Bombyx mori: one gene and its partners. The main gene of each other region encodes a partner of the protein of the gene in region 2 in a complex. Links are inferred from orthologs where the notes say so. Each region holds a gene or a part of one and is shown on either strand. Other genes may lie near its edges. The genes, in order: armadillo repeat-containing protein 7, BUD13 homolog, splicing factor 3B subunit 5, protein crooked neck, pleiotropic regulator 1, 116 kDa U5 small nuclear ribonucleoprotein component and pre-mRNA-splicing factor ATP-dependent RNA helicase DHX16.

Region 1 (4,183 bases), on a different chromosome or scaffold from region 2:
ATTTTATCACCAGCTTTAAAAGCTGTGTTGCTGAAGGATGTGGTATGAATCTTGCATATTTTTTGATAATTTTTATTGTTCACAATAATATAGGGGAATCTATTCGAGAGCATCTTGTTCATTATGAAGTTCGTTTATGTAACTATTCAGGTGGTCTTACACACATTTTGTAGAAAAACTGTAGCTAAATTGACGATCCTCAAATCCTGCGTAGTTTTCAAATTTGACATCATATTTATAACGTCTTGATCAGTTATTTCAGTTTTTGTTTTCTCATTGTACATATATATCAATGTCGTTATTGTATCAGCTACAGTGTCTGTATCACTTGACTTCAATAATCGAAACAAAGGTTTTAATCCCAAGTGAGTTAAAATATAGTCTGCATTCAGTGGATCTGAAAAGTGATAATTCTTACATAAACATGTGAAATGTGAAATAGCAATATGATTTTATATAGTGTCAAATTTTTAAAGATGATTCTAGCGTTTTTCTAAATTTGGGATTTTACATTGCTTAGATGGGTGGACGAGCTCACAGCCCACCTGAAGTTAAGTGGTTGCCGGAGCTCATAGACATCTACAACGTAAATGCCACCACCCACCTTGTAATGAGTTCTAAGGTCTCAGTATAGTTACAATGGCTGCCTCACCCTTCAAACCGAAACGCATTACTGCTTCACGGCTGAAATAGGCAAGGTGGTAGTACCTACCCGTGCGGACTCACAATAGGTACCAGTAATTACGCAAATTATAATTTTGTGGGTTTCATTTTTATTAAGCGATGTTATTTCTTCACTGTGGAAGTCAATCGTCAACATTTGTTAAGTACGTATTTCATTAGAAAATTTGGTACCCGCCAGATACCCGCCAGATACCCGCCGGATTCGAACACCAATGCATCGCAAGATACGCATGCACCAAACGGAGTATCCTTTAGACCACAACGACTTCAAAATGTTTGATTCAAAATGACTGATAAATCTTTAGTATTACTAATTTCTTTTTTAGCAATAATTTATTTCGGGTCTATTGCTATTCTATTGCTAGTCTATTCCTGCGGGATCTTCCCGGGGATTGGATCCCGTCCTATTGTCAGGACGGGTACCGGCGACGGCGAGCCTGCGGCGCGCATTGTGCGGTACCGTAGGTTTCGTGGAGTCGGAGTAGTGGAGCTCGATGGGGTTTAGTCGGTAGTCGGGTCTATTGCTATTTTATTAATGCATTTGCTATTTTATTCTTTCTTAATGAAAATATTATTGAGAATCAGAATCAAATTTTTTTTACTTTTTAATTACTACTTTCCTTACTCTTCTAATTATTATCTTGAATACTGTCAGTAGTGTGGTGGCAGCATGTGTTGGTACTACTGTCAGATATAACATTAATAAACCATTTCAGTCTAATGGGCTTAAGACTTTCCAATATAATAAAGAGAGTTCCAATTTAATGGTATGTAGGGACAGTTACACAATATTGAGGGGAAAATGGCTATTTGGTATAAGCAGCATTGCACTTAAAACATTTACAAGAAAACGGTGCAAGCTCACTACATATTATTGGGCACTTTCAATTTTAATTTACTTTAAAATGCACTAAATCACATCTTATCAACACTCACAAATATTCAAATAGTTCAAGTATTTAATTAAATTTAAATAGAGCTACTTTGATAATCTTAAATAAATTATTGTACATAATAATATAAAGAATACTTTTATTGAACAGGTTCTTTCTTATAAGAGTTTTCATAAAAAAATTGACAGTTTAATTGAACTTATAATAATTTGAGAAAACTATTCATCTATTGTTATCAACAGCTTACCTAAACACAAATTGCAGACACCCGCAATGGCATACCTTATTAATCTACCAATAGTTTCATTCTTCAGCACATACAAGAATATATCTAGTACTCCAACGTCTCTAATGTATGAGTAGTTCACAGGATCATATGCAAAATTTGCCAAATTGGCTAAAACTTGCAACTTTGCTTCTGTAAGGAAAAATAACATTAACAAATTGCAGTGCCATGGAGAGAGCCGTGGAGAGACAGAGATAGAGAGAGATAGATTACTTTACTACACACCAAAACACAATCATCATTGTGTCACACAATCATCTCTTCTAAACAACCTTTTTTATCTAGAGAAATTGTGAAAAAGATCCAACAGGTATGTTATTAATTATTCAGAAACAGAGCAAACCTTCATGCACATTACTTAATAATGAAGAAAAAAAACTAATGTATGATACAATAAATATAAATATAAAATATAAATATTAAAATCACTATAATCATATCCCATAAGTCACATACACAATTTAATTTTATTAAAACGAAAAATACCATTATCCAAACGCAATAGGGCTAGCTGTACTGTGAGTACTCTTTAGCATTAAGGTCGCCCTTGTTTATGCAATAGTTTTCTAACTATCTAAGATTTTTAAAAGTAAAAACTTTAATGGCAATTGTGAAAGTTCATACGTAAATCGCATTAAAATTAATTAAATAGATATTGCATGTATATTTTATTACCATAGGAACTTGAGTGTAAATATTCGTCGACTAATAATGACAAATATGCCTCGCGATCAGTACCATCTTTTGGGGTACGTTTTTGTAAGTGTGCTCTTGAACTGAACATTAAATTATAGTAACTTAAAAGGCTATAGAAAAAATCCTACTTTGACTGGACCACTTTCATTAAAGTAAATACACATTCCTTATTTTTCCTTTGATTCAATAATTCAATTGACACGCCATGACAGTTTTCTCTGTTGTTTTTGACATTTGACAGGTGGCACAATGACATGCGGAAGGGAACATTTTATCTACCATGACATGGGGTAAATTGGGATCCTGGGGTAAATTGGGACAAACCTGCGGAAGATTCTCAAAGTACCTGTAGCACGGAATCTACCTAATTTTGTTTATGTTAATATTTGTCAATGTATAGAAGAAAAACCAAGTTAACTATAGAAGTACTAAATATGAGTTAAGTTGGTCCCAAAAATTCGTCAAATTAAATTGAAAATAGTGGTTGAAAAGTGCGTTTTAAAACAGCTTAAAGAACTTTTAAAAAAAGTAATATTATCGTTGTTTTTTCAATAAGATCACAGTTTATATAAGTTTTTAATACACCTGGAAATACCACAACAAACGGTAAGTTGCAATATTCTTATTTTAAATACAATATTTCGACAAAATAAAAAATGTATATTTTTTCTTTCCTTTTTGGGGAAAATTGGGACGTTTGTAGGGTAATTTGGAACGAGACTGGAAAAATTAGGGACGAGAAAACACAAAATTGGAACGCCAAAAGACAAAATAGGGATGGCTTGTTAGGGTTGTCACTGATATCTTATAATAGATTTTTTAGCCTATACTATCACTTAATTGCGTGATGTAAAGAAGGTTAATATGTTTATCAGTTAGTTTATGTAAGTATTATAGGTAAAAGAAAAGTATATATATAATTACTTTTTTTTCGCGACATTTACCTTGTAACATCTGCCCGGTCGTATGTTCTTTATAGCAATAAAAAAAAAAAAAAGTTAAAAGAACTCAAACGAATCAAAACTTTTGTTATTTCATAATCTATTCACGCGTCGAATCATGATTTTGTTAACATTCACAACGCACACACAAATAAAAACAGGCCTCAGATTTTAAATGTAACATTAATTAAAAATCCGAGATATCCAATTATGAGTGAGTGAATTAATTGAGTTTAGTTATTTCGCTTAGAAAGAATTTCTTTTATTTTTGTTATTATTGGCAGTAATCAGATAAAGCCGGTTTTTTATCTTATTCACCTGATATCTTACTCTTGCTCAAAGATTATTTTGAAAATGTTGATTAAATAAAATTGTATTATTGCATTTCCAGTCCTTTTGTTTTCTATTTTTTATTCTATTTTATGATTTTGTTTCAGAGTTGTGATTTTTAAGGAAATTAAATAATAATTTTCTAAAATATAACATGCACATACTTTTTTTGATCATTGTATTGTTGATTATCATTCACGTCACATCGCTTCAGAATAGAAACCAGCTTAATTTACACTATGTTGTGTATTGTGCTTAAATTATGGATTGTATTCATCATTTCGGTCCATATAAATAATTATATGGCACCTACCTATATATCGCAGTACTGCGAGTTGACAACCCTTACAAAT
Region 2 (4,245 bases):
AAATTTTTGTATAAAAATATGTTCCATGAACAATGAATGCTCACATATTTATTTTGACTTTAACTATGTAACTTTTTTTTATTACTTAGATGGGTGGACGAGCTCACAGCCCACCTGAAGTTAAGTGGTAACTGGAGCCCATAGACATCTACAAGCAAATGCGCTACCCACCTTGTGATACGAGTTTTAAGGTCTCAGTATAGTTATAACGGCTGCCCTACCCTTCAGACCGAAACGCGTTACTGCTTCACAGCAGAAATAGGCAGGATGGTGGTGGTACCTACCAGCGCGGACTCATAAGAGGTCCTACCGCCAGTGATTACGCAAATTATAATTTTGCGGGTTTGATTTTTATTACACGATGTTATTCCTTCATGGTGGAAGTCAATCGTGAACATTTGTTAAGTACTAAAGTAATAGAGAATAAGTAATAAAGTAAGATTAAGTAACAAAGATTACTTATAATTTTAAATTAGATTGCCGTAGATATGTGTAATATTCTTTTTTTTTATTATTTAAATTAAATTTTATATTAATAATTCTAACCTTTCCTTGACACAACTTGAGCATTCCTGCCTGAAACATCATCTTTCATTTTCTTAAACATCTCCTCTTCTTTCTTTCTAAAGTCATCGTTTTCTTGCCTCAGCTGCTTGGCATCTTGTAATCCTGCTTTCTTTCCTTCCAAAGTCTTCTCCATTTTTTTATGGGTTGGAGGGGGACTGTCATTCTTGTTAGACCTATCTTTCCTAGGAGGAGAAAGATCAGAATCGCTATTATTTCTTTTTGAACTTCTGTCTTTTCTTTTACGTTCAGAGTCATGCCTTCTGTAGTTATCTATATTCTTAAGCTTTCGCGGTGGTGATAAATCCGAACCACTGTCTTTTGTGTCATTCCTCCTGTGAGGTTTTTTGCTTACATTCCTATAGGACTTGTTTTCTGCATATCTTATATTTTTACGGGGAGGAGATAAATCTGAATCACTATCATTCGTTTTTTTTCTTAGTGGAACATTTCTACAGGGAGATTCTGAGATTTGTCTCTTACTCTTTCTTGGGGGAGACATATCAGAATCTGAATTTGATCTGTTAGATCTTTTGTCATACCTCGAACCATAATCTGTATCATTATACTTTTTTAACTGGCTCTGTCTGTTATCGTGACCAAATTTAGATTTCTCTGGGGATTTTTTTCGCCTCGGAGGTGAAACTGAGTTAAGTCTATTTCGTTTTGAATCATCTTTTCTAGATTTTCTGGGAGATGTCACATCATATCTTTTTTGAATTTTCATATCTTGTCCTGAAGAAATCTTATTCATTTGGGTTTTCCTTAGAGGAGACAAATCAGAGCTCTTAGATCTTCTGTGGTTATTAGCTCTTAAAGACTTTGGTGACTTATCCTTCTCATTGTCCCAACGACTTGGTTTTTTAAGTTTTTCAGCTCTCTGACCCTCATGCTTTCTAGGTGGTGAAAGATCAGAATCATATTCAGTAGTTCTTTTAGGAGAATTATTCCTTTTCACTGGATTCCCTCTTCTTGGTGGGCTGAAGTCGCTGTCACTGTTGTGTTTTTTTTTGCTTTTAGCTCTTCCAGACGGCGAAGCTTCTGAAACATTTGGCTTATCATCTTCGGAATCACTGTACATTTTTCCAAAGACCAATTCGTTTTCTTTCTCGGTTTCCTTTACATCTTTCTTTATCTCTTCAATTTGTAGTTTGCTGTTGAATCCGTCATCCTGTAACGATTTTCGGTGTCTGTTATAATCGATGAATAAGATTTCTATTAGAATGGTTTTTTAATATGTTGAAGGCTTGACAGTAAAAATAAAGTAATAAACATGTGTACCTGATTCACGATCTTCCATTTAGAACTAGTGGTGAATTGTTCCTGTTTTTTTATATGCTCTGGTCTTTCATCGATGATACCTGCTACTTGCGGTGCGTCATCACCTTCATCATACACATCTAACTCGTCACCCTCAAGGGGTCGTAGCTTCGATAGGTCAATGTCATCGTCTATTATTTTGAACCTAAAATTAGATGAGAAAATACATTTTTTATATTCACTTTAGTGTTTCAACAGGTAAGGTTATTTGTCATCTGTATCTTTCACTAATGAAAGAATTTTTTTTTGTTCTTTATTTGGAACTGACGTTTGCGTCTTTGAAGGAAGATGAGCCGAGAGTGATGATATAGTTAATGTACTGTTCGAACCTTATTAGAACAACATGCTTAAGCAACCAAAAAATTCATCCATACTGAATGAAAATATTGACAGGAATAAGAAATTTGAAATTAATTCGCATTTGTTATGTATTTCATTATACAAATAATCAATACTTACTTAAAATACAATAACTTGTAAGGAGAATACGTGAAAATGTACATGATTTTTTTTTCAATTTTAAAATGCATTTTAGTGTGACGACAGCACTTTAATATAATGCCAAAATACAATTGTAAATATCAAAACGGTAGATATTTAAGGTATTTTTTTTAGAAATAGTAAATTCTTTCACGTTTAATTTCAATTATTGTTCACATTGTCTACAGTTGACTTACCCTTTTCCTTTTAGCACTTTTTTTTTCTTTTTCTTTTTATCGCCCGATGGACCAGCCAGGTATTTTTGCAAGTACGCTTTCTGGTTTACAGTCGTAGCCATTATTAAATAAAATTTCAAATTATTTAATTTAGAAAATTAATTTGACGAACTTTATATTATTATGTGTATTATCTATGGTATCAATTTAGACAAACACAAATGTCACAAATCAACATTCTTTCAAATGTTTCAAAGCCATAATACACTTTTTTTAAAGGGATTTTATGTCCTGGTAACTAAGACTTTTGGGTCATGTCTTATTTTATATTTAAATTCTTATTTTTATGAAAAATGATTTAGGGAGTCAAATGAAATAAAATGAAATGAAGATGATTAATTTGAGACATTAATCAACTGAGATGAAATGAAATAAATTGAGATAAGATAACATGGGATGAAATATAATCTCAGTAAAATGGTGGTTATTTACTGAGACTTCTTTAGTGGGCTTTTTGGAGGATCCCTAGAAGCTACGTCCAGCGGCTTTGTTTCATTTGTGCACTTTCACAGATATTAAACCATTAATAATAATAATAATAATAATAATAATGTTTTTATTTCAAGTATCCATGACTCATATAAATTGTTAATAAGACTTAGACCTATGTTAGTATTTATATTTACATCACAATGAATTACTGTGGTAACATCCCATGGGAGATGGCACCACAGCGACCCATGTATATACAGTCCAGCCTGCTTGCGATCATGCTCAGGATACTGTTGGAGCTGGCCCTCACTCTGTTTACCAGAGATGCACACCTTTTACGCATGGTAGCGTAAAAACAATCTATGTGCGCGTCTGCAAACATCCCTGATGCGCTACAAAAGCGGGGCAGCACCACCAGCACCCTAAACGCGTTATTGTATTGAACACGGAGAGCATTGTACGATCTTTGAGTATATCCAGCCCACAAGCTGCACGTGTAAAAGTTAGTACAGTAGGCCCTAAAGAGGGTGACCTTGACTTTAAGTGAACACCGTGCAAACCTGCGAGCTATCATGTTTGCTCTAACCGACAACGCTCTCCGCTCTCGTTCAATATCTTCATCATCTTTGAGATCAGGGGTCAACACATGGCCGAGATATTTAAATTTATAAACTCTTGTCAATGGCGTTCCGTTGAGTACTACGGGAGGTATTTTATCATGCGTCCCACCCCTGGTCTCAAAGACCATGATCTCCGACTTTTTACAGTTGTACACCAAACCGTGTGATTTGGCGTATCCCTCACACAAAGAAACAAGTTGCCTTAGGCCACAGATAGACGCGCTCAGCAGCACCATATCGTCTGCGTAGCTGATGTTGTTTACGCACACCCCGTCTATGAAACAACCAATCCTGGTCCTACTGAGCTCGCCGATCAGCTCGTTCATATACAGGTTGAAGAGCGTAGGCGAACTCAACCCGCCTTGTCTCACCCCGCACTCCAACCTATATGGAAGAGACAAAGCCCCAGCCCATCGCACATTGTTGATCTGGTTCCCATACCAAAACTTTAGAATGTTATTTATTTCCGTGGGTAGTTTAATATTTTCCAACTTTTTCCACAAGAGGTTTTTTTAATAAATCACCGTTATTACACATTTAAACCCGAAACAACAAAATAAAACAAATCACAACTTCACTCCTCGCGTTCCCGC
Region 3 (2,323 bases), on a different chromosome or scaffold from region 2:
AGTTTATTACTTATCTATACATAAAACGCACCAAAACTTTGTGGAGTTATTCGTGAAACTTTGAAAATGTCGCAAAGAAAAAGAAAACAAATTAATATTGAAGAAAAATCACGTATTTTGTAAATATATTTTTCCAATAATTCCCTATCGATTTGTTTGTACTTGCACGATACACATTAAACATTACCGGTTGTTACGACTATCGGTTTTTACGACTGAATATGAGCAGTCCCTTCGATGTCGTTATAACAGATTTTGACTGTATATATATAAGGCTAAATGGAAATCAAAACTGATTTCTTTGAGATAAAACAATATGAAACAAGTTTGTATATAAAAATAAGATTGTCAAACATTTGACCATTGAACCAATTCTAAACTATAAACTATACCTGTTATTAAAATTTGTAGTTTTTATTGATAATAGTTGAGTTTTTGGTGGTACTATTTGAATAGACTAATTGTGTTTGTTAAAGGTTATAGAAATGAAAACAAACTGCTCGAATTTATGTCATGATAAGGGATTCAAAGTCAAATAATAAGTAAATTAGCTTAATTCTATTTTTAAAATCGAAGCGTTTAATCTTCAGGCTTTTCTGGCGGTGGGCCGCATGGTTGAAGCATTCGTTCCATCAAATTGAATTTTACGCGCGCTTTAGATTCATTTTCTACGATCGCAAAGTAACTCAACAAATCCGGATGACCCATGTAACTGCAGCAAGAGTCGCGATGTTGGTTCATAAGCCATTCATATTTTGTAGTGTCGGCGTGGCCTGTGCCTATATATTTGCTCTGTAGATGTTCAAGTTGACTGTGAATGTTGTATCTTTCACCCATTTTATTCTGTAAATTATTTTAAGGTTATAGTTCGAGTTAGTAATGTCATTAATGTAAAATTAAATGGTTATAAAATAAATAAAACGTTTCTAATAAAATATACACACTTACTTTAAAGGCAAGATGCTTGTTGAAATCGTATAGACTCTAAAGTTTATATTCTAATTCAGCTAATATTGATATCACGTAGCAGCCCAAAACAAAGAGTATTCATAGACAATACATAAATTGCAGTGCAGATTACTGCAGACACGGCGTATCTAAACCATAGATACAATACTTAACGTTGAAATCTAAACACCAAAGGTTGTGCACAGTTTTTTTTATTATTTCTTTCACTGCATCTTTCACAGTAAGTTCTTAGATCTGTTTACATATCATCTGGTTTTGAAATAAGCTTTCATCTTTTAACGAAGCTTGGGAAGAGCCCCGGCAGTGGAATTAGTCTTAGTCTATGCTTCTGACGTTGACGTTCATCAGAGACGATCGCCACTTATTATTAAGTGGGACAGATACTCGTTTGCCGATAATGCTGACCAAAACAGTTGAGTACAGCTGTGTTGTCACATTTTCCTATACTTGTGGACTTTTAGAGATACTAAACGGTTACAATTTTTCATTAATAGCACGTTTCAACAAACAAAAAAACAGTAAGTTAACAAAATTAACTATTAACTACACTTCTACAGCTCACGCAACAAAGTTATTAAAGCAAAGAGGTTAATAAAAGATAAAATAAAAAGTAAAAAAAGGTAAAGGAAGGATAGAAGTCGTCGTGGTCTAACGGATAGGACGTCCAGTGCATTCGTGTTGAGCGATGCACCGGTGTTCGAATCTCAGGAGGGTACCAATTTTTCTAATGAAATACATACTAAACAAATGTTCACGATTGACTTCCACGGTGAAGGAATAACATCGTGTAATAAAAATGAACCCCGCAAAATTATATTTTGCGTAATTACTGGTGGCAGGACCTCTTGTGAGTCCGCGCGGGTGGGGACCACCACCCTGCCTATTTCTGCCGTGAAGCAGTAATGCGTTTCGGTTTGAAGGGTGGGGCAGCCGTTGTAACTAAACTTGAGACCTTAGAACTTACTATATCTCAAGGTGGGTGGCGCATTTACGTTGTGGATGTCTATGGGCTCCAGTAACCACTTAACACCAGGTGGGCTGTGAGCTCGTCCACCCACCAAAGCAATAAAAAAAAACCCGTGAGATATACATAATTACAACCACGCTAGATCAGCTGCATCTATCATGGAATCTTAAGCTCATCATCATCATCATCATCATCATCAACAGCCCACAGTCGTCCACTGCTGGACATAAGCCTCTCCCAATCCACACCACTGAGCCCGGTCTGCGGTTCTCCTCATCCACTTATCTTAAGCTCACAGGTATTTTAATTAAGTGTATTTTCTATGCTCACAGTTACATATCAACTTAGAGTACTTACAAAGTACACTCTAGGGTACGTTGATATCGT
Region 4 (4,265 bases), on a different chromosome or scaffold from region 2:
AGTGTCTATGGTCTTCCTGTTTAATTTAATTTCTTATTAAATACGTTACATTTGTTCCATTTCATTCTTCGTACAATATTTTCAGCCTTAGTTACAAAATATTTGCTGTATGGCCTAGTTACTTTTGTCTGTCCAATAAACGAACTAAACATTCTCTGTGGTTCGATGGCTTAGTTTACATATTACGTGTATTATCTGTGCTATTTATCATAGATACCTACCTACTTGGCTTAAAAAACTTTGTTTCGAAGCCACTAGAAATTTATAAAAAAAAATCTACCTACTACCTACATATCACTACTAAAGATGGGTTAATACCGATATTTGTCAATATTAGCGAATACGAATATATTCATGATGTAATATTATAATAACTTAACTAATGCGTGAATATATCCTGATATCTTAATATACTTCGATAAAACGGGTAAACGAGTTAACCGAGTACGGTATTCGTGAAATAAGTTAATAATCATAGATAATACACATAAATTAGTTATTAAATTAATATAAATAGTATACTGTATCTAGGAATTTGATTTCATACTAAATATTTTACAAGTAATATTATGTACATTAATATGAATATTATTATTAAACCAGAATTTGGTCAACATTGTACATTAATATAAACAACAAGTTAGTAATATTATTTATTTCTTATTGGTGCATAAAAACATCAGCTTTTTTACTTTTTCTACCGAATGACCGGTACGTCGCTCAGAAATGAGTATTCCAGATTTCGAAAAAATCCTCTGATACGGTACTGAGGTGGCTAGTAGGTACACAACAGTTATATTAATAGTATAATCCATGAACCGTTTGGTTAGAAAGTCATTTCGATTCAAAAATCAAACTTTTATTTATAGTTTGAGAAGTTCTTAGAAGATAATTAACTACTACCACAAAAATATATTGTCATCATAATTTATTACATATAAACATTTAATGAAAATAAAGCTCACCGATTTTATTCCAATAAATGTGGAAATGCACTATTTTGTCTTGAGTCGAATCTTTAGTACAAACATAAAAAGTAATGCATTTAAAAATTCCCACTGGCATCTTTGACATGTAAAAAGTGCAATACAAAATAGTCCTTAAACTCATAGCGAAATATAGTTATTTTCATTGCTCAGTATATAAACATGTAGATTATCTCACTTACTCTTAGCGCATGCAGTGCATTGATATGAATGTGATAAACAGATATCCGCGAGACACGTACGGCGTATGTCAGTATATTTTCGTGTGATAGATATTTCGCTAGGAGTAACAGTGTTCTGTGGATAGATACAACCCGACTGATGTGAGCTGGCTATTATTATGAATAAGTGAATACGGAATATTAGCATATCAGAATTCGACGGATTACCGATAGACGAATACAAGCTGTATTACGAATATCTTAGTGAATGCTAATATATCGGTATCACCCTTAACCACTACCTACCGTATTCACTTCTCTTAAAAATGTGTATAATCTATGCTTCTCATTTTGACAATAAATAAAAAAAAAACCTGAAGATTTCCTTTCCTGTACTTAGCTGTTTATTGTATGTAATCAAATTAAATTTAGGTTAAACTGAACTAAAAAATTATAAACTGTGCAGAACGTAGAACTTAACATGGACAGCAAGACAACAAAAATGCCGAAAGTGGCAAAGGTACGAAAAAAGTGTTTGATGGTATTGTTGAATAATATTACTCCAATTTTAACATGGATCTCACGATTTTTAGGTGAAGAATAAAGCACCAGCAGAAATCCAAATAACAGCTGAACAATTACTTAGGGAAGCCAAAGAACGAGACCTTGAGATATTACCACCGCCACCTAAACAGAAAATATCTGATCCTGAGGAACTTCGAGACTACCAACATCGTAAACGTAAAGCATTTGAGGACAACATAAGAAAGAACAGACTTGTAAGTAAATTCAATTTATTAGTCGCTTACAATGTATAAATGACTGTTTTTCCTATTAATGTAATTGTTTCTCAGTTTTAAGACCATCCAATGCTTAGTTTTACTAGCTGATAGAGTTCACCAAATTAATTTCATTAATTGATTTCGTGCCATTACGATCCTTTGAACAATATAGGTTTCATGCTGTTTCCACAATAAGAAGGGTACTAAACAATTTCTACTCAGAGCATTACTGACGAAAACCAGATGAGGATACTTTTATTTAGTAGTATTTCTTCAAGAAAACAACAAATAATATAATAATATCGAATTTTAGTTTAATGGATGCTTTGTTTTTGTTTTCAGGTTATTGGGAACTGGCTTAAATATGCACAATGGGAAGAATCACAAAAGCAAATCCAAAGAGCTCGTTCAATATATGAGCGTGCTTTGGATGTGGATCACAGAAATGTTACCTTATGGTGAGAGCTATCATTACAATTAACAATTTTATTTGAAAAATTATTAACTTATGTGCTCTTGGTACTGCCAGTGTTTAAACCATATGACTATTTTAAAAAATGTTTGAGAAATCTGTGGTGTTAATTTTTTTTTGCATTCTTGGCTCATCTGATAGTAATTGTTAGTCACACTACTGAGTACTCTTTGTAAGCCTCATTTGAACAAGGACATATTGTTGGATCACTCAAGACATGGGCTTTAGAACAAAATTCATGTCACAGTGAAGAAAAAAATTAATTCTTAAAGAGTTACCATACAAAGATCAGCTTATAATAGAACATATAAAAAAGATTCCTATGTCACTCTGTTCACATTACAATTTTATTTGGTTAGTAAACTTGTAGACAATTGTGGACGAAATGTTAAGATGTTTGATATACTTGTAATGACCAATACAACTATACTAGAGTTCATAGCCTTTGTGCTACCTAAAGCCCAATATATTTAAGGAAATACATACCCGATATGAAGAAATTTCATAAGTAAATAAGAACAAAGTGTCATTACAAAATTGATACTCTATTAATGTATTGTGAACTGGCATGTAATATATCATCCTGCCTATTTCAACAGTTATGCATTTGGTTTGAATTGTCCAACAGTTGTTTTATAAAGGAATTGAGACTTCAATCTCAAATTGATGCCTATTTAGTCCAAGAGCCACTTATTTAACAAATAAAACAATCTGTACTTTGAAAAATCTGTAAAAGTCATGGACTTTCTTGGTAAATTTCTTACAGTTTTAACTGTTAAATTTGCGTCACTCTTCAATTATCCACACTACCTTAACTACCTGTACTTTAGGCTGTTATACCACACCAAAATATTCTCAGCGTATCATGGGTTTTAGGCTGAAGTATACTGAAATGGAAATGAGGAACAGACAGGTAAACCATGCCCGTAATCTATGGGACAGAGCTGTTACAATTCTGCCAAGAGTATCTCAGTTTTGGTACAAATATACTTACATGGAGGAAATGTTGGAAAATGTAGCTGGAGCAAGACAGGTGATATTTTTTATACATGTACAATTTCTCGTATAATGATAATAGTCACTGACTGTAACTGAAACAAGGTTTCTAATTTACTTTTGTTTCACAGGTATTTGAACGTTGGATGGAATGGCATCCAGATGAGCAAGCTTGGCAAACATACATAAACTTTGAATTGAGGTACAAAGAACTTGAACGGGCTAGACAAATCTATGAACAGTTTGTTATGGTGCATCCAGATGTAAAGAATTGGATAAAATATGCAAAATTTGAAGAAAACCATGGTTTCATAAATGGCTCTAGGACAGTTTTTGAGAGAGCTGTTGAATTCTTTGGTGATGAAGAATTAGATGAAAGACTGTTTATAGCGTTTGCCAAATTTGAAGAAAATCAAAAAGAACATGACAGAGCAAGAGTGATTTACAAATATGCTCTGGATCATGTCCCAAAAGACAGAAATAAAGAACTTTATAAAGCTTATACTATTCATGAAAAGAAGTATGGTGATAGATCTGGCATTGAGGATGTAATAGTAAATAAGAGAAAGTATATGTATGAACAGGAAGTTATAGAGAATCCCACAAATTATGATGCATGGTTTGATTATATTAGATTAGTGGAGAATGAGGGTAATTTAGATGACATAAGAGACACATATGAGAGAGCAATTGCAAATATCCCTCCTTCAAAGGACAAACAATTTTGGAGGCGTTATATTTACTTGTGGATTAATTACGCTTTATATGAAGAGTTAGAAGCAGAAGATTTAGATCGAACAAGACAAGTTTACAGAACCTGTTTAGAATTAATTCCTCATAAGATATTTACTTTCTCAAAAATATGGCT
Region 5 (4,254 bases), on a different chromosome or scaffold from region 2:
GTGGCTCCAACGCATTATACGGTGGCCCGGCTCTGGATTCACGAGTGCTGTGGGCGGCCCTCACGCCGAGAGGCACGAGACACTTTGTCGCCGACACTTACCCGCACGACGATACGGAGGACCACCACTACGAGTGCGTCGAACCCCCTCTCTACAAACTCGGCCCACCCGAAGACTTGGCCATCACCCGTCACTTCAATGTTGAATACGAAGACCCGGCGCCCCTGATAGAAAATTACAGCGATAGAGCTGAGGACTACTTCCGTAACGGTATCGAGACGCTGCGCAGAACGAGACCGCTCGTGTCATCGCCAACCAGGATCGAACGCCCCAACTTGCCTCCTCTGAACCTTCAGCCGAGGACGCTGCGCCGCGCGCCCCACTCCCGCCGCGTTAGCGACGCTAATAATCCAGAGAAATCGGCCATCTGAACCGAGAGTGGCGCGGTATTCTCCGTCGCCGATACAACTGAAATCGATTACGATTGGCAGTCGATTGAAAATTCGAACGTTGACCGTCTCGTTTAACAACCGTACTATTGACTCTTGTTTCACTGAGTGTAATGCTTTTTTAGTTTTGAAAAATCGTCGTCGAAATTTCTGGTAGTTCAGTGATTAACATTCGTTCATAAATACTAAAATGCTCTTTTACGGTAATTGTGTGTTTATGTAAATATTGTGTATGCACTTATTAAGTATTCCAAGTCTGTGTGTTGAACAGTACAATGTGCTTAGTACCATTTGTATGGAGTTGGAACAGCGCCTTTAGCGGCAAACGCAGAGTAACTGCCCCAGCTCCATACAATTTTGAGTAACTTTTACACGATCGAGAAGTTAAAACAACTCGCACCAGGCACACTGTACAATGTAAATAATACTTTGGAGGATGTTTATTGTATGTAATTTAACATAACAAATAGCTATCATTAAATCAATAAATATTCGAAAACTAGTGAGCAGCTGTATCTAGTCTAGTTTCTAGTCTGTAAGCACAATTTCTAGTCATGTTCGTACCTACTTGTGAATTTAGAGGTAAATATAGATATAGTCCACTGTGTATTTTATTGAAAATCAATTCCACAATTTTCTTCGCAATGAATTTTTATGCTCGAATTTTGTACTTATGAATAAAATCGACGTTGTGTAAACAGTGTTTTTTTCATTTCTAGGAGCAAACTCTAATTAAATTATTGATAAAATTCTGAGCCAAATCCGTACTTTCTATCCGTCACAACAAGCATAAACAACAAACAATAAATTTTTTCTTCAAATACCCTTTAGTATTTCAGCTCAATAAGAGGAATTTAAAATGTTTGTTTTAAAACAATTAAAATGGTAATTTCAAAAAATCATAATAATTATGTTTGTTGCAGGCTAATCGAGATTTGCATTCATTTGCCCAAATTTTTTATTATCTGTACAGTGACACTTGACAGTGACGCTGCTCATACCGTCCATTTGACGTTTGTTTGACGTAGGATTTATTTTGTAGGAAAGTTGTTGCTGTTTGTTGTCGGGTATTTCTTGGTCTCGACACCGTTAAAACCAAAAAGCTTTTCGTAAGAATCATAAGGAATATGCATTAATTAAAAATAAAATTGAATTTAAATGCTGATTTAATATTACAAGTTAATAGTATTTCGTATTCTTTAAGTAATTTTAGACATTAATTAATAACTTCATAATGTCTGAGGACGTGATTAAACATTCTGTACACACTTTAGTGTTTCGATCGTTGAAAAGATCGCACGATATGTTCCTAGCTAATCAAGGAATGTTGCCGCCAATCGACGATAAAGCGTAAGTAAAACAGAATAATATTATTTGAGGTTAGTTTAATACAAGTCCTAATGGAAATAATCGATGAGCTATTTCAAAGATCGGTACAATAGACAAACTAAGCGATTTGTTGTTCCGTATCAAAAAATTTCTGCTAAACCTTTAAAACTTTCTACTGTACTGGAGAAAACCTTTATGGGAGCAGACAATGTTGTCAAGGTAAATAAATTAGAGGAAAATGTCACGTTATGTATAACTACATAAAACACTAGAGTAGATAATTATTATTTATAATTTTACATTAACAGAGAGAAAGTACTGAAATTGGTTAAAGCAAGAGATAGTTACGGACAAGTCATGGGTGCAGTGCGGAAGGCTCAGGCCCTGAAACAACAAGAGTCTGTCACCTGTAGACCTGAAACTCCACTGACCACAGGTAAAAACAATTAACAAACTCCTATATACGGTTAAGCGCTTAGGCTCAGGATAAATAAAACTTCCACTGAAGTACATATTAAAACTCTATTTAAAACTAAGAACACTTACCAAACACTTTACAATTCGTAATTCACTTCTTCCGCTTCGCTTCAGGTGATCCGTTTGCTGTTTCGCTTTGAGTAGATCCTTTTAATAACTGCTTTCATGTCATCTCTGCAACGCTTTTATAGTCAATACGATATCTCTACAAAAATCGAGAACATTCCAGAAATATGGATCAAATACAGAAACAAAAAAAAAATTATTCATTTTTATGGAATTTTTTTTACAACAAAGTTGCATTTTCGTTATGATAAAAAAACAGCAAGAATTTAGCTGTGGACCTCATGAGTTCTATGCTCATTACATTCAATAAAAAATCGGTCCAATACTCCTTGATATTGCAATGAAATAAATCGAATGTTTTCTTTAGCAGAAACAGTGGAAACTGCACCTTTGCCGTCGGAAGGGGCTGTTGTCCCATACTCTGGACCAACACCTTCACCGTCACCAGCTCCCCCCTCGGGGGCTTTAACTGTACCACGGAAACCGCCGTCTATGCCCAAACCAAAATGGCACCCACCCTGGAAATTAATGCGTGTTATATCAGGTCATCTGGGTTGGGTTCGATGTGTTGCTGTAGAACCTGGAAATGAGTGGTTTGCTACCGGTAAGTAAAATTATAGAAACCACATACAGAGCAAACTAATGGCATCTAATATGCCAACATTTAACTAATATATTTAATCCTTTTAGTATAAATTAGAAGAAGGATATGTGGTAAGAATTATAATTACAAATTTGTCAATCTTAAAAATTTTATTAATATAAAGTTTGATTTTTACATATTAAATATACTTATTTATAAGACTTTTTTATCAATACAACACAAAACATAAACTTTGACAGTTAGATAATCAATATATTGTATTTGTGTAGACAAGCTGTTGTCCTATGAACGGTTGAAAAAATAAACTTGATTTATGATTAAAGTTACTTCATTTTTCTGTTATAATGAACTTTTAGCACAACCATTACAATAAAACCAATCCTAAGGAATTAATCTGCATGATGGTTTTGATATTTCAGGTGCCGCTGACAGAGTGATAAAAGTATGGGATTTAGCAAGTGGGAAACTAAAAGTATCTCTCACTGGACATGTGAGTACAGTAAGAGGTAGGTGCGCACACTTTTTGTATTCATGCAAAAATCAATGCTTGGTTTTCAGATTTTGAATAATGAACGCATTTTTCTTTTATTGCCCAGACAAGCACACTGCCCACCTGATGGTGAGTGGTTACCGTCGCCCAGGAACTTCAGTAATGCCATGGGCTTAGCCAAGCCGCTGCCTACTAAATTAGTAATTTTTTTAGCATCATCAGCCTGCGGCAGTCTGCTGCTGGACATAAGCCTCCCCAAAGCTCGCCACTAAACCCAATCTTCGGTTCCTTAATTAATTTAGTAATTTTTTATTTTAGTAATAGTAGACATTTTTAATTTTTTCAAACTTTTGCTGCTATGTATATTACAGAATTACATAACAAGTTCTGATCATAATTTTCACATTAACACAGTTCTGGATATTTCATCATGTTGTACGCACAGAGACCGTAGGTTGAGTCTATGTTAATTGTGAAAATCATGATCTAAGAATCCATCAAGTACCAGTATGTGTAATATGAATATATTCTATTTCAGGAGTGGTAGTGTCACCAAGACATCCATATTTATTCAGCTGCGGTGAGGACAGACAGGTGAAGTGCTGGGACTTAGAATATAACAAAGTGAGTTATTGACCTATAAATAACAAAAAAATATAGGTTAAATGATATGTCTTTAAATATATGTAAAGAAAACTTTTATTATTTAAAACTATTTAGATTTTAAAAAGGATTTTTCTTCAGTGTTATTCAGTGTCATGGAGTGAAGTGAAAAAGAGAGTTCAGTTTTGTATAGTTTATTATTAATAATATGTACTGTTTACTCTTTAATTGAGGTT
Region 6 (2,962 bases), on a different chromosome or scaffold from region 2:
ACTGCCGATTCTGAACTATGTTTCTACTGTTAGGCACCTACCGATAAATTTGATAAACGTGAACATGACAAAATAGTAAAACAATTTGAATAATGAATACATTTTTTTTTACTAATTTAGATTAGCCGAGAAACTTATGGCTTAACTACCTAACATTAGTATGTTGTTGGATTTATTTTGTGAGTAGTATAATCGCTAGGATAAATCGTTAAAATGCGACAAATATTAACATGTCACCTCTGCCGGCTTTAACGTTTGGCAATTTTATAAAGTACCGCGCACTCCCTCTAGGTTTAATGGATTTAATAAAAAATATATAGAATGAATAGTATAACGCCAAAAGTTTCACATACAACTGCAAATGTTTTTTAGTTTTGATTTATAATAATTAATCTATGTATTACATACTATAATAATATGTTTTCACTACATATATATTATGTTATTGTTCAGTAATTTTATCAAAACTTTGCACGTAAAATGAAAAACAAATACCAAAATAATTGTTTGGTAAATTTTATTAAATCAGAAATATAATTAATGAAGTTGTACGTCTTGTCTTGCCAGCTCCAACAACATAGGATCGTCGAAAAACTTATTGATGGACACGTCCTCACTGAGCCCCTTGCGTCGACGGGTCTTGATCATGAACTCTCTGGCTAAATGCGTCGCTGGCTGTGGTTCCAATGGCCTAAATAAATAAAAAATGAATTAAATATGATTTTATCATTCACTGCTGATACAGATTCGTTTATAATAAATATCATTATCTTCGTCAATACACTGACCCGGCAGACTTCGTAGTGCCTCAATCGATAAATAAAAGACCTAAGCTTTTGTATAAAATAAACTTAAAATAAACAAAACGAATCCGTCCGACGGGGGACACATGAAAAAGAAAACATTTTTTTTATTTATATTTAATTCCGAGCATTTATTATTTATCTACCTTTTAAACCTTCTCTGGGCTTCCACAAATAATTCAAGACCAAAATTAGCCAAATCGGTCCAGCCGTTCTCGAGTTTTAGCGAGACTAACGAACAGGAATTCATTTTTATAAATTAGATAGATAAAACAATCCAAACTAGACAACTCACCTGATAACAATACTCTTGTCGAGCGGGTCGCCGGGCACGATCTGCCAGTGATGGAAGACCTGCAGACAGAAGGCCTGGCCCTGCGTGTGCGTGCGCAGGTCGGTCTCGAAGCCGAACGAGTCTATGGCCGGGACGAACGCTTTGATGGTGTAGAGCGGCGACCCGGGGACCGGAGCGTCCTGGGTCACGTGACCTGCGCGACGAGCCACAGACTCAGTCGGTTTTTTCTACCTAAGCTGATAGTCTTGTGAGACCATATCAGCGTCACCGGGCGAGTGGGTGAGCTCACGGGGCTCAAACCTGACGTTGTTGCTAACACGATCCCTAACAAGAGCTGTGCTTCGTAGAATCAACCACCGGATCGGAAACGCGACCCACTAAGAAGATCCGGCGAGAAACTCAGTGGGCTGTGTCTGTGGGTTAATTTACTCGCCGAGCCCTTCGTCGCAAGCGACGGGTTCGACGAAAACCCCGATGACCGGCTCAGTCGGTGGAATCAACAGCACTATATATTACAACATGTATATAATGTGGGACGGTAGAGTGAAATCTAGTGGACTTTCATACCAAAATTTTTTATTTTCCAAAAAAAAACCCTCCTTACCTCGTCATGTCATTCGATGACTGTAATTTTCATTATTCTTATTTTAAAATAATTCTAATGTGTCAGTGTGAACCTGATCAAAAAAAATACCGATCTTCCTACATATACATAATATGTATGTATATATTTAAAGGAAAAACCGCATTTGCGCTAAGGTCGCCGCACTGTGCGGGCACAATTGCGGATACGTGCGCAGTGAGTAGGAGTGGGTAATATCGGTTTTGCCGCGTATCGAATCGTATCTATATATCGAGGATCAATATCGGATATTGAATCTATATATTTTCTGAATCTATATATTGATGGATGCTGGTAGATTTTCTCGATTCATGATATTTGAGATTTGAAACGATACGCCGATATAATATCGTAGTATTTAAGTCAACGTTATACGGTTGGTTTTCTGATATCAATTTATAATATGATCTTAAAGTAATAAAAAGAACATGAAAATAAAAATATCAAAAAAACTTTCCTTCATGCTTTTACCAGGCTTAGGACTGGCTACATTATTTTCAGTTTTTAGTATTTTGTGTCTTAATTTAAAATTACAAAATATACCAAAAGAGTGTAGATTTCAAAAGTTTAATACAAACACAAGAAATAAACTCAATTATTTGGATTTAACTAAAAATAGAAAAATGTGTACTTTAAAAATCAAACACAAAAAACTTTGAAGTATTTATAAACACTTGTCCAAAAATTCTAGTTCAAGGTCAAAGCGCGTGAAATTAAATTCAACGATGCAAATAGGCTATACTGCATTCAAGTTAGGGTCGAAAGTTGAAACTTCTTTCCTTAATTGTATCCTGCTGATACGCTTAGAATAATCTACAGACATATGGACTTAAATATAAGGTTTACAATTGTATGGATAATGCCTGTTTCTGTTTCATTCATCACATGATATCGCTATCGTGCGCTCACTCACTCTGGCCGATTCGATACGAACCAAACGAATATTGCTGATATTAACGAATCGGTACGATATGCCGATGCGCATCACATCGAGCAATATCGTGTATCGGCTGATATCGAAATATAGATTTCGATTCACGAATCGGTCCGATATGGCGATGCGCATCACATCGAGCAATATCGTGTATCGGCTGATATCGATATATAGATTTCGTGCGGGGCGATATCGGATTCAACGATATTGCTGCGATATATAGATATTGAATCTATATACGATTTATATCACCCACTCCTAGCAGTGAGCAACCTGGTTGTAATCAGAATTATAACAATCTTGTTGCC
Region 7 (3,500 bases), on a different chromosome or scaffold from region 2:
TTGATTTGTAATAATGAGGCGCTACCTCCAGTAGCCATTTGCTCTCAATTTCGGTGACTTGTCTCATAAATTCTTTAGATGTAAATACAAGCTCATGGTAAATCACCCATCGTGGAAGGTCTTCAAATAGAGCACTATTAGGATGTATCATAACTGTCTGAAAGCAATAAATATATTTGGATAGATTTATAAGAAAAAGAAAAAAACATTATTTTAACTATCAAGATTTTAAGTTTCGTTACCTGATTATGTTTTACAGTTTTATAATGACCACCTTTTGAAAATTTTGCTATATGATAGAAATAACCAGACGTTATAGCCTTTCTTATATTAGTATCATCAGATAAACTTGTAACCATTTCAATTTCTACCCTTTCCATCAGGCTGACTAATTGTTCACGAACATCTCGAGCTCGTTTCATCGATCTATACTGCACGAAGTTTTCATAACACCACTGCACCGAATAATCTGAAGCAACCCACTGATTGTATAAGTTCATAATTGTCAGATGATCTCCTTTGTGATGAAAGAAATTTTTTCTTGCTGTATCTGCATGGATTATTTTATCTTTAGGCCGGTAGAAGACGGAGCTATTTACTGATAGCATTGCTGCAATTGTGACAACCTCTTCAGAACATTTATATCTGTAAGACAAGAAAAATGTGAGAATTAAAGTGATTTTGAGACAATCTGAACTGCTTTTAATTAGAGGGTATGAGTGGACGCGTTCGCATTTATCAGCTACTAACTACTTCTTCACCCACAATCTGTAAGTCTGTAGTATAAAGTGTGGAATAAAAGTTTTGTTGATTTGATTGTGTTGTACATTAGTTATAATAAAATTATCGATATCTCCACAACAGCTCTATCACTAGTCATTATACAAATTTATAAAATTTACCAGGTTATTACACAATGTAAATCCTTCATTCCAGATGCGAATGTTGAGATAGATGTGTGGAGTGACAAGAATGGATAAGATGAGGAATAAGTATATCAGAGGAAGTATGAAAGTAACCCCGGTAATTAACAAATTAAAAAGCGGATAGTTAGCGTGGTATGGACGTGTGATGCGTAGAGAGAAGATGCATGTGACTAGGAGATGTACGGAATTGGTAGTGCAAGGTAGAGAGGAAAGAGGTCGATCGAAGAAGACGGATGGAGTGTGTGAATGACGATATGAGAGAGAGAGAGAGTAGTGAGTGTTGAGCTGTTGGCTGATAGTAAGATGCAGAAAAAGAAGAAGTTAATCCTTCATTATGAAAGTTAGTTATGAGAGAATGACTTATGTTTACATTACTTACTTTTCACTAGCTAACAACATTTTCGCGAGCATGGGGTCGGTAGGAAATTCAGCCATCCTTCTGCCTGCTTTTGTTAACTCTCCATGATGATTAAGTGCACCCAGAGCGTAAAGTTGTTCTAAAGCCAAAACTAATGTTTCATGCGGTGGTGGATCCAAAAAATCAAAATGTATTAGATCATTGATGCCTAAAGCTTTTAAAGTGAGAACTGCATTTCCTAAATTTATTCTCTGAATTTCTGGTACAGTATTATCTTCTAATTCATATTTATATGCCCAGGCTGTGTACAATCTAAAACATTTTCCAGGAGCAACCCTTCCGGCTCGTCCAGCTCGTTGATTTGCTGATGCTTTAGAAATGGGAACAACAATTAAACTTTCCATGCCAGTCTTGGAATTGAAGTTGTTTTGTTTGGCAAAACCTGGGTCTATTACGTATATAATATTATCAATTGTCAATGAAGTTTCAGCTATATTTGTAGCAAGAACGACTTTTCTAGCTCCTTCAGGAGTTTGTTCAAAGATTTTAGCTTGCATGTCACTAGGCAAATTGGCATATACTGGTAATATTAAAAGCTCGCGCAGTTTTTTGCCTATACGCTTCGTCCTTTCTTGTAACATTTCAACACATGTTTCAATCTCTTCTTGTCCTGTTAAAAAAACCAATATATCACCAAGAGGTTGTGTGGCATGAATCTGTAATACTGATACAACACAAGCATCTACATAATCTGCTTCGGGTGCCTTTGTGTAATAGATGTCCACAGGAAATCTCCTTCCCGGGATTCTAAAAATTGGGGCATCTTCAAAGAATGTTGAAAATTTCTCAGCATCCAATGTTGCGCTGGATATAAGCAATTTTAAATCAGGTCTAAATCTGGTTATATCTTTTACAAGACCAAATAATATATCTGTATGTAAGGTACGTTCATGAGCTTCATCAATGATCATTACACTGTATGAGGCTAGATCAGGTTCTGATAGAAACTCTCTATGAAGAGTTCCATCTGTCATGTACTTTATTACTGTTCTATCAGATGTGCAATCTTCAAATCTTATACTATAACCAACTTCATTTCCCAGTTTTACGTTCATTTCTTGTGCAACTCTTGCAGCAACTGACATAGCAGCTACTCTCCTAGGTTGTGTACACCCAATTTTTTTCCCATCTTTAGTGAAACCAGCTTCATGGAGATATTGAGGTATTTGTGTTGTTTTGCCAGATCCTGTCTCACCTTCTACAATTAGAATTTGATAATTTTGTATGGCTTCAATAAGTGATTGTTTAAACGCATATATTGGAAGTGATTTTTTTGTTTCTTCAATGGTCATTCGAATTTTTTGATATTCTGATATTTCTGACTTTTCCTTTTTGTCTTCAGAACCTTCCATTTTAAGAGCCTGTATGAAATCAATTTGTTCATCCAGTAATAAATCATATTCATTTGTAGCTTTAGCATCTTTTGCACCAAATTTAAAGAAAGCAGATTTAATTTGTTCTTGTTCCCATTTTTGCTGTTCAGAATGTGGCAACCTCTCATTTTCATCAACTTCAACATATTCACCTGTAATATACAATTAGTAGGTTATATACAAGATGTACAAGCAAATAATTTATTACTGATTACAATTTTTTAATTATTTTCTTTTGTTTTGTTGATTTGTAAATTTTGAAATTTTAAAATGAAAGTATTGGATGAGAAATAAACAATATAGAAATTTAAGACCAAACTGAATATTTGAAACTTCACAATTAAACTCTATATGATTTACCAAACAACATCATTAATAAAATGAAAATATTTCAGAAATTTTGTTCATAGCTTGAAAAACTTTTTGTCCATAATTTAAACCTTCATTTTATTAACGTCAGCTAAGTTTTTTTCATCCCATAATTTGAAATACATAATTAAATATTTTACATAATTAAATTTCTCTTAAGGTTTGAAGCTTTGTTTAGTTCTTCATTTGAAAGGTTTCTTTGTAATTTTGGATAATTACCTTTTTCCCCTTTCCCCAAGTCCCGAGGCATATGATATCTTTGAACATTTTCTAACTCTCTTGCTTTTTCATGTTCTTTAGCTAATTGTAATAAAGTTTTCTTGTGTTCCCTTTCTTCTTTTTCTCTTTTTGTTAGGCTATAAAGACAAATGATATGACACATTTTAAACTATTAATTTTGTTTTAACCAAATGC

The links.
Region 1: BUD13 homolog (region 2) and armadillo repeat-containing protein 7 share a complex: the UniProt entries of both Homo sapiens proteins name them as parts of the minor spliceosome. The link is inferred for Bombyx mori from reciprocal best matches to the Homo sapiens genes BUD13 and ARMC7.
Region 3: BUD13 homolog (region 2) and splicing factor 3B subunit 5 share a complex: the UniProt entries of both Homo sapiens proteins name them as parts of the minor spliceosome. The link is inferred for Bombyx mori from reciprocal best matches to the Homo sapiens genes BUD13 and SF3B5.
Region 4: BUD13 homolog (region 2) and protein crooked neck share a complex: the UniProt entries of both Homo sapiens proteins name them as parts of the minor spliceosome. The link is inferred for Bombyx mori from reciprocal best matches to the Homo sapiens genes BUD13 and CRNKL1.
Region 5: BUD13 homolog (region 2) and pleiotropic regulator 1 share a complex: the UniProt entries of both Homo sapiens proteins name them as parts of the minor spliceosome. The link is inferred for Bombyx mori from reciprocal best matches to the Homo sapiens genes BUD13 and PLRG1.
Region 6: BUD13 homolog (region 2) and 116 kDa U5 small nuclear ribonucleoprotein component share a complex: the UniProt entries of both Homo sapiens proteins name them as parts of the minor spliceosome. The link is inferred for Bombyx mori from reciprocal best matches to the Homo sapiens genes BUD13 and EFTUD2.
Region 7: BUD13 homolog (region 2) and pre-mRNA-splicing factor ATP-dependent RNA helicase DHX16 share a complex: the UniProt entries of both Homo sapiens proteins name them as parts of the minor spliceosome. The link is inferred for Bombyx mori from reciprocal best matches to the Homo sapiens genes BUD13 and DHX16.

What each region holds. Positions count from the first base shown.
Region 1 is NC_085121.1:11,321,589-11,325,771, reverse strand, and holds the start of armadillo repeat-containing protein 7, read right to left. Parts: upstream 2,801-4,183; 5' UTR 2,648-2,800; coding exon 2,539-2,647; intron 1,996-2,538; coding exon 1,825-1,995; intron 398-1,824; coding exon 147-397; 3' UTR 1-146. UniProt on the Homo sapiens protein: As a component of the minor spliceosome, involved in the splicing of U12-type introns in pre-mRNAs.
Region 2 is NC_085130.1:5,568,591-5,572,835, reverse strand, and holds the start of BUD13 homolog, read right to left. Parts: upstream 2,801-4,245; 5' UTR 2,663-2,800; coding exon 2,562-2,662; intron 2,030-2,561; coding exon 1,846-2,029; intron 1,736-1,845; coding exon 547-1,735; intron 1-546. UniProt on the Homo sapiens protein: Involved in pre-mRNA splicing as component of the activated spliceosome. As a component of the minor spliceosome, involved in the splicing of U12-type introns in pre-mRNAs.
Region 3 is NC_085126.1:5,965,730-5,968,052, forward strand, and holds splicing factor 3B subunit 5, read right to left. Parts: upstream 1,109-2,323; 5' UTR 949-1,108; intron 844-948; 5' UTR 838-843; coding exon 580-837; 3' UTR 501-579; downstream 1-500. UniProt on the Homo sapiens protein: Component of the 17S U2 SnRNP complex of the spliceosome, a large ribonucleoprotein complex that removes introns from transcribed pre-mRNAs.
Region 4 is NC_085124.1:5,696,892-5,701,156, forward strand, and holds the start of protein crooked neck, read left to right. Parts: upstream 1-1,465; 5' UTR 1,466-1,628; coding exon 1,629-1,667; intron 1,668-1,740; coding exon 1,741-1,926; intron 1,927-2,271; coding exon 2,272-2,387; intron 2,388-3,277; coding exon 3,278-3,434; intron 3,435-3,528; coding exon 3,529-4,265. UniProt on the Homo sapiens protein: Involved in pre-mRNA splicing process. As a component of the minor spliceosome, involved in the splicing of U12-type introns in pre-mRNAs.
Region 5 is NC_085129.1:1,617,528-1,621,781, reverse strand, and holds the start of pleiotropic regulator 1, read left to right. Parts: upstream 1-1,454; 5' UTR 1,455-1,683; coding exon 1,684-1,799; intron 1,800-2,086; coding exon 2,087-2,214; intron 2,215-2,688; coding exon 2,689-2,925; intron 2,926-3,344; coding exon 3,345-3,431; intron 3,432-3,953; coding exon 3,954-4,039; intron 4,040-4,254. Other genes in the region: uncharacterized protein LOC101740918, read left to right, coding at 1-431. UniProt on the Homo sapiens protein: Involved in pre-mRNA splicing as component of the spliceosome. Component of the PRP19-CDC5L complex that forms an integral part of the spliceosome and is required for activating pre-mRNA splicing.
Region 6 is NC_085121.1:1,473,641-1,476,602, forward strand, and holds the end of 116 kDa U5 small nuclear ribonucleoprotein component, read right to left. Parts: intron 1,292-2,962; coding exon 1,099-1,291; intron 692-1,098; coding exon 538-691; 3' UTR 501-537; downstream 1-500. UniProt on the Homo sapiens protein: Required for pre-mRNA splicing as component of the spliceosome, including pre-catalytic, catalytic and post-catalytic spliceosomal complexes. Component of the U5 snRNP and the U4/U6-U5 tri-snRNP complex, a building block of the spliceosome.
Region 7 is NC_085110.1:11,482,215-11,485,714, forward strand, and holds part of pre-mRNA-splicing factor ATP-dependent RNA helicase DHX16, read right to left. Parts: intron 3,443-3,500; coding exon 3,306-3,442; intron 2,870-3,305; coding exon 1,306-2,869; intron 646-1,305; coding exon 243-645; intron 158-242; coding exon 1-157. UniProt on the Homo sapiens protein: Required for pre-mRNA splicing as a component of the spliceosome. Contributes to pre-mRNA splicing after spliceosome formation and prior to the first transesterification reaction.